Linked DNA regions of Alligator mississippiensis. The protein of the gene in region 1 binds, or shares a complex with, the protein of each later gene. Links are inferred from orthologs where the notes say so. Each region holds a gene or a part of one and is shown in the gene's direction. Other genes may lie near its edges.

Evidence for each region.
Region 2: the proteins of PTPN3 (region 1) and MAPK12 are in contact, whole or in part, in a crystal structure (PDB 4QUM), measured with the Homo sapiens proteins. The link is inferred for Alligator mississippiensis from reciprocal best matches to the Homo sapiens genes PTPN3 and MAPK12. Residues at the interface, in NP_002820.3 of Homo sapiens: Arg655, Leu671, Asn674, Arg675, Tyr676, Lys677, Asp678, Val679, Arg751, His812, Ser843, Ala844, Gly845, Ile846, Gly847, Arg848, Met883, Gln886, Thr887; in NP_002960.2 of Homo sapiens: Met182, Thr183, Gly184, Tyr185, Val186, Val187, Arg189.

What each region holds. Positions count from the first base shown.
Region 1 is NC_081828.1:77,596,247-77,603,859, reverse strand, and holds the start of PTPN3 (tyrosine-protein phosphatase non-receptor type 3), read left to right. Parts: upstream 1-4,602; 5' UTR 4,603-4,738; coding exon 4,739-4,787; intron 4,788-7,613.
Region 2 is NC_081827.1:40,034,191-40,041,578, reverse strand, and holds the start of MAPK12 (mitogen-activated protein kinase 12), read left to right. Parts: upstream 1-4,373; 5' UTR 4,374-4,598; coding exon 4,599-4,858; intron 4,859-5,778; coding exon 5,779-5,908; intron 5,909-7,388. UniProt on the Homo sapiens protein: Serine/threonine kinase which acts as an essential component of the MAP kinase signal transduction pathway.

The sequences.
Region 1 (7,613 bases):
CTAAAGGGGTTGCTGAGCCCTTTTACCACCTTTCCTATAGGTTGGGATGGACTTCCCTTGTGCTCCAATTAGAAAAAATACAAAATCTGGTGATTTTTTTTTGTCCTTTTCATTTTTTTTTTTTTTTTTTTGCCATCCCAGGGTCTTTATGTTCTTAAATTATTTTTATTTTTTTTACTTTTTTATGAATGTACTACCAAATGAATAGACTGATTTAAAGCAGGTATGATTTATTAATTTATGGATATTTATTTTTCACATTATGATATGTGATTTTATAGTGTTTTTAACAGTATATTGTCATTATTAAATTATCTGCCCTCCTCACCCCTAATTTCGCACTATCCTGAAAATTTAAATCAATAAAGATCTAAATAAATGCTTAAAAATAAACATCAATTTTAGTCATTGGAATTTTTTAAAAAATCCAATTCTACCAAGCCTAACTATATGCAAGTCATCAGCACATAATACTAGAGCTTATGGGTGTCATTTGGTTCTTCAGATGGGGGTGCAGGTATGTGGACTGTGAAGCAGGAGGAAAGGAACTCAAAAGGAGAAAGTCAACTGCTGGAGAAGGTAGGTGTTAAATGAGTGAACATTTCATAATGTTGATATTATATGAAGCCTAGCAACTTTATGCCTAATTAATGAGTATTTTTGTGTGGGTGTACAAATATTGGAATGGATCCAGTGACTTGGCTTTGCTAGAAACCCATGTTGTGGCAAACTCATCTCTAAATGGTTGTATAATGGTACAACTCAGTGGCAACACATAGGGGGTGCACAGGGGTGCATGTGCACCCCCGGAGAATGCTGGTGCACCCCCTGCCAGGCCATGCTCCCTGTTTAGGCGACCAGCAGCGGGGCAGGCAGGAGTGCCAGCGTCCTCCCTGCAAGTACCAGCTGGGGAGTGGGGCCACCAGCAAAAGTGGCCAAGCTGCTTCCAGACGTGGCTATGGGACTTCTGGAAGTGGTGTGGCTGCTTTTGGTAAGTGTGATTGGCCACAGGGACACCTCCCCCCTACCCCGGTCAGGGCACGTGGGCCCCCTGAGTCAAGAGGCACCAGTTGCCCATGGTACAACCTGCCGACAGTTCCAGCTTGGGAATGGTGCGAGCAGGGCTAGCATAAGACTCTTTGCCATTCTAGGCAAATGAAATTTTGCCACCTTGCCTTTTTGTTCTTGGAGGACCTGACATTAGGCAGCCCCTTCTGCATCATACAGAACCCCCCAGGTTTTTCCCAGTAGCTGCTGCACCTAGAAGTGTGGCATGTGGTGTGGCTGCCCTGTCCTTGAGCCTCAGGAAGCTAGGCATGGCCCCCATGCCACTGTGCCCCAACTCAAATGTAGCTTCAGTGGCAGCAGTGTCCCTTGGGAGCCTGCCCAGAGTCCCCCATGCACTAGCAGTGGTGCAGCACCTTGCCCCTCAGAACAGCCCTGTGGTACCATGGCATACAGGGTGCTGAGTGGCCAGGCCATGGCAGCATCTTGCCAGGCTGACCTGCTGGTTCTTGATTCTGTTTATGCTGTCCCTGTCTGGCACCTACCTGTGATAAAGCCTTCTCTGCTGCTGTGGTGGCATCATGCCAAGCCTGGGCCCAGCCAAATGCATGCTCTGTGTGCCCATCCAAAGAAATGTTTTTCCTTACTCCTACAATTTGCCTTCCTAGGTGGCCATCTGTGCTGCCTATATGGCTAGTTTGGCCCTGAGTGGAAGCCCTCTGCCAAGAGACCCACACAAATGTGTCTGCACACAAACAATTCTTTCATATTGAAGTATCAAAACATATGAAAAATGAACACAAAGATAAGTTTAGCTACTACAAAATACAACCTTATCAGAACTTGTATCTGTATTTTCAAGACCACCTCCATGTGAAAAAGTTCATTTTGGGGGGAGAGAGAGTGAAAGCATATGGTCTTGGAGAATATGGCATGCCAACAGAATTAAAATGACAGACTTTTATTTATCCAGGTGAGATAAAGGCAGGAAATGTCCATATGAGTTCATTTTCCTCTGGGCAATGGGCTTGCTGTTTCTAGGAAGACTTATTGTTTTTAGAGGTGAGAATTGATTTAGTTTCTCTCACAAGGTCCCACTGTGAGGGAAAAAATGATCATTTGCCAAATTTCCCAATCTCTCTCTCTTTTTTAAAAATTATTATTATAAGTTCATGTTCCATTAAAAATGCAGCACTTCCCATCTCTGGTCTTTCAAATGTCAGCTGCCTACTGTCTTCCTTGTTACAATATTTTACAAGTGACTAATAGCAAACATTAGCTCCCTCATGTCACATTTCCTACAGAAGGTTCAAAGTACTCTATGAAGAATGGGAACAGTAATTATCCCCCTTTTACAGACCAGGAAACAGAAGCCCCAAGGGATGAAGTAAGTTGCCCAAACTGGTTGAGCAAATCAAAAGTAGTCAGGAACAGAATCCATACCTCCCATTTGCTACAGGAGAATTGCAACAAAAGAATTGCTCTAGTATTTTCTTTGCAACAGAAGAAATGCTCTAGTATTTTTCTGTAGTAAAAAAAAACAGTTAAAAGAACTGGTATTTTTTGAGAGGGGCCTTGAGTCTAATGAGGGCTGCTTTGAATCTAAAAAGGTTGAGAACCTCTTCATTAGACAGTGCTGCCTCACTTTCAGTAGCTTATGGTATGGCCAAGCATGCAGTAGAAGGGAAAAAAGGAGGATTTGGGTGTAATAGGCACACACTGGACCTGCCTCTGTACTGAGGCATGGGTGGCCAGGTTACAACCAAGCCAGTCGGCCCCATGCTGACCAGAGGAGCCCCACTGAATGGCCCAGAGCCCAGGGGCAACAGGCCAAAAATAGGCTGGAAAATGGAGACAGGAGGAGCACCCGCTGGGAGACCAGAAACAGCTCTGGCTGCTCTCTCCTCCACTGGAGCACCCAGGGAAGAGCTGCACACTCCCCCCTGCTCGAGCACACAAGGAAGTGGCAGATGGCCCCACACTTTTAGGAAGATGTGGACAGATTGGAATCAGTCCAGCAGAAAAAAACAAAAATGATTAGAGGACTGGGAAGCATGACATACAAGGAAAGGCTTAAAGAGTTGGTTATTTAAGAGAAGAGAAGACTGGGGGCAGGGATGATTTGATAACAGTCTTCAAATAACTGAAGGGTGAACCTTAGGAGAATAAAGATTGACTTTTCTCTATGGCATAGAGGACAGGACTAGGAGTAATGGCCTTAAACTGAAGCAGAGGAAATTTAGGTTGGCGATTAGGAGGAACTTTCTGACTATGAGGGAGGTCAAGCATTGGAACAGGCTACTTAAATGAACTGTGTAATCTTCAGCCCTTGACATTTTCAAGAGTACGTTGAGACGTTACTTGATTGGGATGGTTTAGACAGGGATGATCCTGTCTTGACCAAGTGCCTGAACTAGATGACCTTGTGAGGTTGTTTTCAGTCCTACTTTGCTATGTTCCTATAGCAACACTTCCCATGACTGGTGCAGCTCAAATCATGAAAGATCAGAGCGTGTCATGAAGGCACAGTCCAGTGTTGGGTGTGATGTGGAGCTCCAAGGCTAAATAACTATTTAAAAAAAGCATCATCTAAAGCAGGGGTGGGCAAAATGTGGCCTGCAGGCCAGATGTGGCCCACCAGGCCATTCTATCCAGCCCACAGGACCCCTAAAAAATTTAGAAAATTAATATTAATGTGGCCCTCGATGGCTTGCCAAAACTCAGTAAGCGGCCATCCACCCAAAATAATTGCCCGCCCCTGATAAAGTAACTGGCAAAGAAAAGCCTTTTTAACAATTACTCAATATTTATTTATTGACAAAGTACCCCAGTGTTTCTGGTGTTTCAGACACAATATAATCATTTTAGTTATGAGGCTCAAACGCTTACTGCTGAACAACTTTCCTAAATGATCAGTCATAATGTTGCACTTAAGTCTATAATAGGAGTTTTGTGCCTGCCTCAATAGAAAACAAACTAGTAAATGTTTAAAAGAGGAAAACCACCAATTATTCCATAGCAGCACACTATCTTAAATCCCCAATTTTATTATTTTGCTGGACGAGGAGTCTGAAGTATGCATAATAGATCACATAAATACAAAACATAAAGAATGACTGAAAGCAATTACATTATTGAACACAAAATTTTAATTTGTCACTGTTTTGCACATGTACCATAAAAATAAAGTAGTCCAAAACAGCACATATAAGGAGGCTTTATCTGATTCCAGTTACCACAAGGCACCCAAATATCACAAGAAAAAACAAAATTATAATACTGTATAATATACTTATTGTACTGTGTTGGTTATTCAGTATTTACTTTATGCAGTATATCTTTATTTTAACCCCTTGTATTTTTTGCAGGTTTTCCAGTACCAAATTTAAACCTAGTTTTGTTTTAAAGCATGTGGACTGTAAAACTGTGTAAGTACTGGAACTTCAAATGAAGTGTTAGGTGACTACTCCCATTCACAAATCAGATGCACGCTGCATTTTTAAGGGTGGATATTTGTTGCAATGAATCAATTAAAACCTTTTCTGACACGTTAAATGTGTGTTCCTAGACCTGTTTCACAGGTTTCGCAGAAGGGAAAATAACAACATGTGACAGCACCTAGGAGCCAAATGTACAAGAGAAGATCAGAGGTTTGCATGAGTGAGCTTGGCTTTCCAAAATACTTTTTGAAACACTATTAAAGGGACTGTAGAAATATCCAGCACAGAGCACCATGGTGGAGCAAGAGATTTTGCAATCGTGTAGTTATCCTCCAGAAAAATGTAAGTGTGAAAAATTTGATTTTTGATAAGAAATGGAGAAAATGAAAGAAAAAAATTTAGCTATTGTAGTTGTAAAAGTATGGGAAGTAGTAAAGAAGTCTTCAAATGAATAAATGTAGAAGCAATTAGCTTTACCTTTATGAACTTGTAAGCTTGATGGGCAAAAGAGAAGCGTTTTTACCTGAAGGACTCTTCTATGAAGCATTTTGAAAGTTTTTAAATGTAAAACTTGCTGCTTTTATTTGCAAACTTTATTCATGCTATTAACTGCTTCAGTATTGGAGACATGAACAGTGAGTTTTTGTTACCTTGAAATAACTTGCATAATAGACTGAAGCGCTGGGAAAGCATTTTCTAGCAAGACAGGGCATGAAAAATACAATATGCAGAGACTTTTTTCTTAAGTTGTCAGGAAGCTTTCTATCCCTTTGTCCAAATATCAGCTGAGGGTTATCAGCACTGTCTTAAATTCAGGCAGGAAACAGAAGTGAACTGTCACTGAGCTTCACTGCCAATTTAATATTTATTTTAATACAGGAAAATGAAACAGTAAATGAATAAAATATCGCTTTTTTTTCTTGTTTTTGGAGGAGGAAACATATGGGGGGGCTGTCGGTTTTTGTTTTGTTTCGTTTTCTCGTTGGTGGTGGCAGTGTTATTAAGGAGTTATCTATCCATTTTTGGACAAAGGCAAATATAATTTTAAGTACTGTTGACTAAAAATGTAGCAGAAAACCAAAAATTTAGGAAACTAATTACTAATGGGTATGGATTGAATAAGTCTAAAATGGAGCTGTTTAAGCAAAATCATAAAGAAGGGTAGAATTTGGAACTGATATGCCCGTAAACCTCTTGGATGCCCTGCCAAAGTGAAGCTTCAAAGTCAAGGCAGTTCCCTCCTCCTGAATATAGTGCTTTCTAGCTTTTAAGTGACTTGGCTTCTTTGTTTTGGCAACATAAGATTTGATAACATGTTATCGCCTCAGATTTGCTTCTAATAAAAGGACTGGTTTTCATCTGAAAATGAAGATGTAGTTTGCTAAATGTTCTACAGGGTTTTCCAGATACATGGAAGAATTTTTTTTGAGTGATTAACAAGATAACAGAGCCTCATCTCCATGAAAACACTGAATCTCCAGGAGTGGAAATTTATTGTCTATTTTGTCCTCTTTATATTCTGTACACTCCTCCTTTTACATGAAGGAGAACACAAGCTTGAAGAGAAGAGGGCAGCTTTTTTTCTTTCTCCCACTGTTTATTTCCTACCTGAGAGCATGCTTGTGGTGTGGTTCCCCTGAAAGAACCATGCCAGTGAGCTGAAAAAATAAAAACCCACTCCCTCCTCATACATATGACTGATGGTTATAGAGGTCTTGATGGAAAAGACATAGCATCAGACCTTCAGTTCTTCAGCACCGATCAGTACAAATGGGCTGTAAAATTGGATTCCTGAAAATTATCTCTGAATATCAAAGGATCAAGCTGTTCCCCATATTCCTACCCCCTGTATAGGAGTGGGGGCTGTTGCAAGGGAAGTATGATCAAAACACAGCTACCCCCAGCTGCCAGAACAGCTTCCTCAGAGCAGCAGGGAGCAACTTAGCACTTAATACCTGGGGTGCTCTGAAATGTTCTATGGGATCAAACCACTTCTGGCTGCTTTCTCGGAGGCCTCAAGAGTGGGGAGTTACAAGGGTAGCATTAATCCTCCTTTGCTGTCCAGATTGGTTCTGCACTGGGCCTTGCTTGCTTGGCAGAGGAACAATACCCTAGGAGGATTTTGATGTCAAATGACTGCAATGGACATTTTCTAAAATTCTTAAAGGATGCCAAGAATTGTGGTATTTGTGGCTATGGAACGGTAATGCTTTGTTTTGTCTGCAAAGTGCTCTTTTTCTATTCCAGTGAAATCTGTGTGCAGAAGCAAACAGTTGTTTTATTTTCAGATTTGTTGCAGTCTGTGTGACAGAAATGAAGTATACATAGTGCTTGTTTGTGGTGAGCTTAATTGTGTTCTCAATCTAAAATAACAGCAATATTGGATTGAAATCATACAACTGCTTTTTATGGACTATATAAGGTCAATGAAACTATTAAATTATTCCTCTGCACATAGTTTGTAGAACTTGGTGGTGTGTGTGGGTGAATGGGTAGGTGGGTGCATCTAGACATGCTATTAGTGAGATGCAATAAACTCTGGTGCACTTTGCACCACTCATGTGCTTTAAGGCACAGCATTTACATGTGCACCTGGAACCACAGAAGTCTCAGCCAGGGTGGAGCAGCCACAGACTGGCAGAAAGTCCTGGGGGTATGCCCCAGGCTCAGGGTGGTGGCAGAGGGCAGCAAAGTGGCCGGCTGGGGCACAAGGGTGCTATAGCGTGGGGCTAGCCTGGAAGCAGCCCCCACACTTTAGCACCCTTGTGTCCTAACTAGCCCATGTCACAGCCTACACATGTTCAATCACATGCAAATACTCTGCCCTAAGATAGTACTGTCCCTGACAGACTATGGCGGAGTTAATTCCTGTGCCTTAATACCAGTGCATGTATAGACTGTGACACTTTAGTGTGGACCTAATTAATCTACTCCACAGTAAAGCTCACATGTAGAAGCACCCAGTGTGTGTGTGTTTTCTGTCTCAGTTTTGACACCAAACTGAATCAGTACTTCATATGAGAAAGAGCTTATTGCAACTTGCTGTGTAGAATCAGCAGCAGATTGATAGAAGACTCTTTTTAGCAAGGCTTTGTGAAAGGGAGTGAACTTAATACAGGAATGAAGGCTTGTATTCAGCACAGTGAAGAAAATCAGGTCTATGATGCT
Region 2 (7,388 bases), on another chromosome or scaffold:
GCCTTTCAAGCTGTCTGCACCTTTTGTTATGCAGCACCCAACATTAAGTGGTCCTCTATGAACAACACTTCGGGTTCCCCTGCTGTAAATACAACATTAATAGTGTGATCACTTAAAGCATAGAACTGCCTTGACAATAAATATCAAATTAATTTTAATTTGTTCTGACTTTCTGAAAAATATGTGGTCTATTCTTTAAACAGCAAAGATGAGACTTTGTAGTGAGCCTAAATCAGCTTTTCAATGCTATGTATGGAACCAATTATATGGAGAAGGTTTTCAAGACCATATGCAATTGTCCCACTATGCACTTTTCTCACTCGTCTTCAAAATCCCTGGGTCAGAATGCAAACTAGACAGGATTGTCCAAGGAATCCGGGAGCAATGCTGACTGGGAAAGCACCAGTTTGCACCTTGCCTGGGCAGCCTGTGTTGGTGGGGCCTGATTCATGGTTATCCACAGTCTGCAGAACCCAGGGGAACAACAGTGAAAAGAAGTCTAATCTACTTTTCTTTAAGGCCCAGGATGAGTCTTCCCTTCAGCTAAAATAGCCTTATGGGCCTAGTGGATTATTAACCATGGAAGAGATTACAAGGGCAAGTATACTTATCCCACATCCATGCCCCAGTCTATCTCTGCATTTCTTTACAACAACAGCCTTGCCAATTGCTTTCCTGCAAACCTGCCCTTTATGGGCAAGGGCTTTGAAAAGGTGATGATGTTTGCCTGGTGCTATATTAGCTTCTAGAGATGGAAATGCCAAAATTTAAGAGGCCTTGGTGTTTAGGACCATCTTTAGAGCCTTTCAAACTACATGTGTTAAATACCAGACAAACCTTATCATTTAATGTTGGTTACATCATTCTCCACCTTCCTCATACATGTTTGTGTTGTCTTATTATACAACCAAAATCATAAATTTAAGGAATATAGAGTGTATTTTTGCTTCATGGTTGCCCCGTACGTAGCACAGTAATGCCCTGATTCCTAAATTCCAAGGTATTTCTGTGATATAGACTATAAAATAATAACCTGTCAACCCAAGCAGCATTTGATTACATTCAGTTTTGAACCCCAGGCAGTCAGGTTTGTGTTGAGGGGAGGGGATAGCAATAATATTAGTTCTTGTGGTGATTTCCTTTGTGATTTCCTTTCAACCAAAAATTGCCAGGCATCCACACTGATACAATTACATTCACCAGTGGCTGGATATTGTTGACTAGAAATGCTACAGTTTGACAGTAGAACCTGGAAGAGGTGCACATAATGGATCTCTGTTCATCTAGTCCACATGTAGTAATAATGTTAAGGAGACAAGCCAAAAAGTAGTCTTAGATATTTTGGAAGGTGTTAGTCAGAGTGTGTAGTTATTCTAAATACTCTGAGTTTCTGACAAATGTCAATGTTGTCTTGTGTCAGATTCAGTGTCTTAGTCCTACAGTATCAAAGTCAACCATTTTCTTCCCTGCAAAAAAGTTGCTAATGGCCTCTGTTTCCCAGGGAAAGGACAACTGAGTGTTAGAATGTACAGTGGTGAAGTCCATTTACACTGGAAAACAAAAACATATATTGCATGTTAGGTACCCTTTGAATAAATAATACATTGGCTGAAAATTGATTACTGAGCCCTCCCCATACCACAACAGACTTCACTGTACCCAGCGCATCATTTGGATGAAGGACACTGTATAACATGGATAAAAGTATTTCCAACATCTATAATATTATAATTTGAAAACAGAAATCCTATTGGGGTCCTGATTTTTAATTAGATCAATATCGTTAATCTAATACTCAACACACTCATTGCATTACAGTACCTGCCAAGTGTACAAAGGTCTGTAGTTTCCATGATTACTAAAACTTCAAGGTAAGTGGGACAGCTCTCAGTACAGAACCACCATGGAAAATGCATGTGTTGTGAAAAAATATCAAAACTGTGGGTGCTGGTGATTTTGCAGGGCCTCTCCCCAAGCAACTTAGAAAGCCTGTTTTTTCTCCTAGCTCTGATGTCTACATCATGACAAGGAGAGGGTGGGGCTGCTTTTCCAAATTTACTATTTACAACTAAAAGGGACAAAGTCCATGGGAACTACCAAAAAGGCAACAGAGACAATGAAACTTGGCCACAGGCAGAAGTTGATTACCCCCTTCTAGCTAAGCTACAAATTGAATCCAGTGACAGCAAGCCTGAATTATCTAACCTCAGCAACATTGTTTAGGAGTGAAATCAGACAAAAGAAAGGCTTCACTAGATACCAAAGAAAAAGAATGCTAGTTGTAGTCGCACAGAAATTTTTTTAAAGTATGTGTTTGCTGTACATATCATGTGCCTGACATACTTACTGAAGAAATACTGTTGATGTTGTTAAGCTCCATATACCTGCACTGAAATTGTTCTAAGCTTGCATGTTTTCCTCTTGAACCTGTAATGCATTGGCCTCCTTGCCTTGAGTGACTGTGTAAGTCAAGTGTAGAGGAGTTGATCTTTTAAATATAATAAATACGATGGTAATTTTGAATCCGATACTAGGATAAGGTTGAATAGCAAAGGTAACAGGTGTAAGCATATGCACTTTAGCCTATTTTAATGTGCTTTAAGTAAATAGCACTTTTTTAGTAATGCATTAATACTCATTAAAATAGGCTAATGGGCATTAAAGTACATGTGTAGATGCACCTGCAGTTTGCTCCAAGGTAGATAAACAGCAAGTAACTTTTGTATTGTGTGGTGCAATTATAGTATGAATAGTATGTAATAATAAGCAGGAGTTTACAAGAGCTTCTAAGAATGATAGCAAAAGAAGTAAGTGGAGAAAGGAAAGGCAAGGAGGAATAAGAAAAAAGAGGTAAGGGTAAAATAGATGGAAGCAAAAGAGGAAGAAGAAAACAAATGAAAAAAATAGCCAGCGGATATCAAGAGGAAGATACCACTAGAACTTATCAGGAGAAGGTAGCTGGAAGTATTTGTCACTTCTAGATGCAGATAATTGCCTCTCTCAATTGTAGTGGCATCCCATGATCTATTCCTCTCCTATATCAGTTCTCCTCTGCCTGAAAAATAATCCGTGTTCAGCTTCCATTCTGCTGATACAGAATGGGGAGAGATGCTAATCAGTGACGTGAAAAATTATGTGGGCAGCCACATACATCATTTGTGGAGTTGGTATGAAGAAGCAGGAAAATGGGGGTAGTGACAGGGAAATGAGCAAAGAGTTTGAATAGAACTAGAAAAGGACCACGAGAGGTGCAGGTAAAGGCTTGAATGTGACAGAAAAGAGGGAAGATGTGCTTATTGTAACTTACAACTTGAAATAGTTTTCTCACTATAAACTTGCTTATATGTTTATCTGTATTATCTTTTGAGACTACAGGCTTCTTGAAGCAGGGAATGTTTTCAATTCTTTTTTCATACTTTGAGTGAGTTTGAGAAAAGCCTTTATTTACTTTTGGAATGTAATGGTAATAATAACAACGTCTCTCCTATTCTGCAAGTATCTTCAGACCCATATCAAACCTGGCAGGTAAAAGAAAAATCCAAACTGCCCCGGGTCCCCCCATTCCCCATATACATTTGCTTTCAAGTGGATTTTCTTTTCCTGTCACAGAACTAATTCAGAAAAAAACCTGGAACTAACAAACACACTGGACTTTACTGCAAGACTATCTCATTTTGAGTACTTTCCTCCAAGCACTGTTTATCTATCCTGGGGCAAACTGCATATGGGCACTATGGGTGCATCTACACATGCACTTTAATGTGCATTAGCCTATTTTAATGTGCCTTAATGTATCACTAAAAAACAATGATGCACCTGGACCTGGCATAGTGCCTAGGGTTGCCAACCCTCCCAGATTGGCCTGGAGTCTACCAGAATCGGCATCAATCTCCCGGTGACTATTGAAAGCAATCTGGGAGACTGATACTGTGAATGGGATGGACAGTACAATTAATGACATTACATTATATTGGGGGAAAATAATCTCCTGGAATAGCTTTAGTTAGTGTTGGCAACCCTAGTAGCACTAGGCATGTCAATTTATGTGCTCCAGCAGACTTGATTAATCAAGCCTGCTCCAACATGCTGGATTTCCAGCAGACTTGCCACATGTGCGTAAGTGCCCAAAGGTACAAGATTTAATCCGCATTAACTAATGCACATGTAGACACCCCCCCGAACAGTAGGACTGGCTGAGCCCTGCGTCCTGCTGGGAGGAGTAGCAGTCTTCTTGCCTACCCCTGGCTGGGTGCCAGCCTGCTTGCTTTGCTTTGGTGCCCCAGCACAGCTGGGTCCTGTTAAGTGAGCAGAGGGGGGCTCAGGCAGGGTGCCACGGGCAGAGCAGCCCGGAGCTCTCTCCCACACCCGGCAGCTGCTCTGCTCTTCTCGTGCAGCCCAAAGCCAAGCGTTAGCACTTGCCCAGGGTCCGCCTGGAGGTGGCCCCGCGGGGCACGAGGTGTTGGCGCCCCGAGACCGGGCGGCGGCGGCGGCGGGGCGCTCGGGGAGGAGCCGCCGGGGCGGGCAGCGAGGTCTGGCACGAGGGGGAGCCTCCCGCTGCAGCTAGGGCCTCCGCGAGCACCTCCCTCCTCGCGGAGTGAATGGCGAGCAGGGGCAGGAAGGAGGAGGGGAAAGAGGCGCCGGAGCCACATCCAGTCCCCGCTCGCGGAGGGACGTGTCCAAGCCCAGCCCCTCGCAGCAGCCCGGCCGCGGGGCTCTTTGTTGGCGGGCGGGGGCCGCGCACCATGAGCTCCCCCAAGAGGGGTTTCTACCGCCAGGAGCTCACCAAGACGCTGTGGGAGGTGCGGGAGCGCTACCGGGACCTGCAGCCCGTGGGGGCCGGAGCCTACGGCGCCGTGTGGTGAGCGGCTTCCCTCGCTTTGTTCCCTCCCTGCCGCCCGCGGGGCCGCAAGCGCCACTCCCGGCTCAGACCCCGAGGAGTCCCCGCGGCCGCTTCGTGCCTGCAGCACTTTGTAAGAGCCGTCCCGCGGGGAAAAACCCGAGTGCAGACGAGAGCGGGCGTTTCCCGAGGGGGAAACCGGGACCTGCAGCTCTAGACCCCGTCCAAGAGCTGTTTCCTGAGGCAGCCGGCGGCCGCTCAGCCCCTTCCTTGCTGGCGCCCCGCAGCTCTGCTCCTCTGCCCTGCTCTGGGGCTGAGTTTTGTGCAAAACCCTCTTTTCTCTTGTAACTTCTCAGGGCGTGTCTTTGTGGTAGTGAGGCCTGGCTGGTGGCCCTGTGGCTAGATAGCCATGCTATCAGGAAGGCCCTTCCAACCCTGCAATTCTGCGCAGCTGCTTTATGCCACATCTTACCTGGCTAGGATGGATGATCTTTTTTTAGGAGATAATTATTCAGTTGTTCCTCTCTTTCTCTACCAGAAAGTCTCGCTTAGTTGGATGCAGCCTAGTGGAATTTGGATGTGTCCCTGTTTCTCTTTCCCAGGTGTAGCCTTTCACAACTTTTGATATTGGCCTCTCTATGTTCACCTGGTGATCCTTTACAGTTAGTGCACATAGACTTAACATCCTGCTGATGAGGTTCTCTGGGGGGAATTAGCTCGTGATCTCTATTTTATAGTGCAGTACGTTACAGCGAAGAGGGTATGTGGCTTTTCCTCTGTCCAGTAGAAAAGTAGTGGCAGGGCCAAGCAGATGGTCCGTACCAGGACTCTCTGACTTCTCATCCACTGTTCAGTTTGTTCAGCTGTTCAGTTTGTTCAGCTGATGAGTCTTTCAATATTACTCAGGACCTCACTCACAAACTCTTTGTGTTCCCTTTAAGCTCCGCTATTGATGGAAGAAATGGCACCAAAGTGGCTATCAAGAAACTGTATCGCCCATTTCAGTCTGAACTCTTTGCCAAGCGAGCCTACCGGGAACTGCGCCTTCTGAAACACATGAAGCATGAAAATGTGAGTTCGGTCGCTAGTAAATCCCCTCAAGGCTGTAGCTTGCACTACAACATACACTGCCTGGTCTGCTGCTTCCACAGCAGAATTAGTTGGCTAAGGTAGATATGCTATTACATGGAGCTACTTAGCAATTTTACAACAACATACTTGTTTTGTCTGAAAATGCTGACCAGTCTAACTAAAACGTTTTGTGGGAATACACCAGACGCTGCTTGGAATGGGTTTCTCAAGTCCATAATGGTTTTCATTTTGGTTTTTTAACAAGAAAACAGAGAGTGGGAGAGAGACCAGAAACTTGAACCATGGTCTTCTACATCCCACATAAGAGGTCCCAACTGTCAGGTTATTGTCTGTTCTGTTTTTGGTGGATCCTGTAACTTCCCTCATTGGAGCTTTTCCTCTGTATGTAAATATTATTTGCTGTCTGTCTTGGGGGGTGGGAGGGAGGGAGAGACTGACTGACTGCATAAATACTGTTCATTTTGCCAGAAAGATATACTGCAGCCCAGTGCTCAGGCCACCAACCTGGGATATGTCAAATGAAGCGTCATGCCCTTGCTTCAGTGAATGTTTAATTAGTTAAAAGTTCATTAGAGCAGGATGTTGGCTTTGGCATGTTCCTTGGCTTTGGTATGATACTCTGGCCACTAGAATCTGAGCCTCTGGCATAATGAATAATATTTACAAAATGAAAGAGCTCTTACAGGACACATGGAGAGACTGACTCTGTAGTGCTGTGGCTGGGGTATTCATTCCGGACATGGGAGACCAGCGGGGTCTCCAGCAGCTGGGACTTGAATCTAAGGCTTTCACATTCCCGGGGAGAGCTCTTTCCACAGTGCTGTTGCCTATACTCCCTCTCTCGCTTTCCACTGTACTGTTGTCTATTCATATCTTTCTCTCATTCCAGTATGGAATGGGAAAGCTATTGAAATAACAAAACCTTTTGTTGGACTGGAAAAGTATTTCCTGCCCAGTACTGTGTGTGAATGAATTAGATTCCATTTGGGGAGGTATATAATTGAGAAGATATAATTTTGTGGAAGAGGAAGACCCATCAATAAAGGTGTTGAAAGCATGATCAGAGAAATCAGAAGCAGGAAAGGACATTTTAATTTCTAGGTAAATATGATCAACAGGCACAAAAATCAGGGCAAGTCATAAATTACAAATGTTGGATTTTAGCTAGGAAGAGATTATTGGAGACTTGACTAAAAGCAGTTTACAAGGAACACAAGGGGACAGGCAGACTACAAGGGTATTAGAGCTGAAAGAGGCTCAAGGTAATAGCCATACATTCCGTGAGTTTAGAAGTGAAAAGGGGGACAGTGTGTTGAGAGAAACGTTTCTTAAAATTGTGGAGATCGGATCGTGCTTGTTACTTGAGAGGAACAGATTTTATAAACCAAGGGCTGGCAAGGGAAGCTAGTCATTTGCAATATTGAAACCTTGTAATTCACATGCATGGCATTAAAACTTA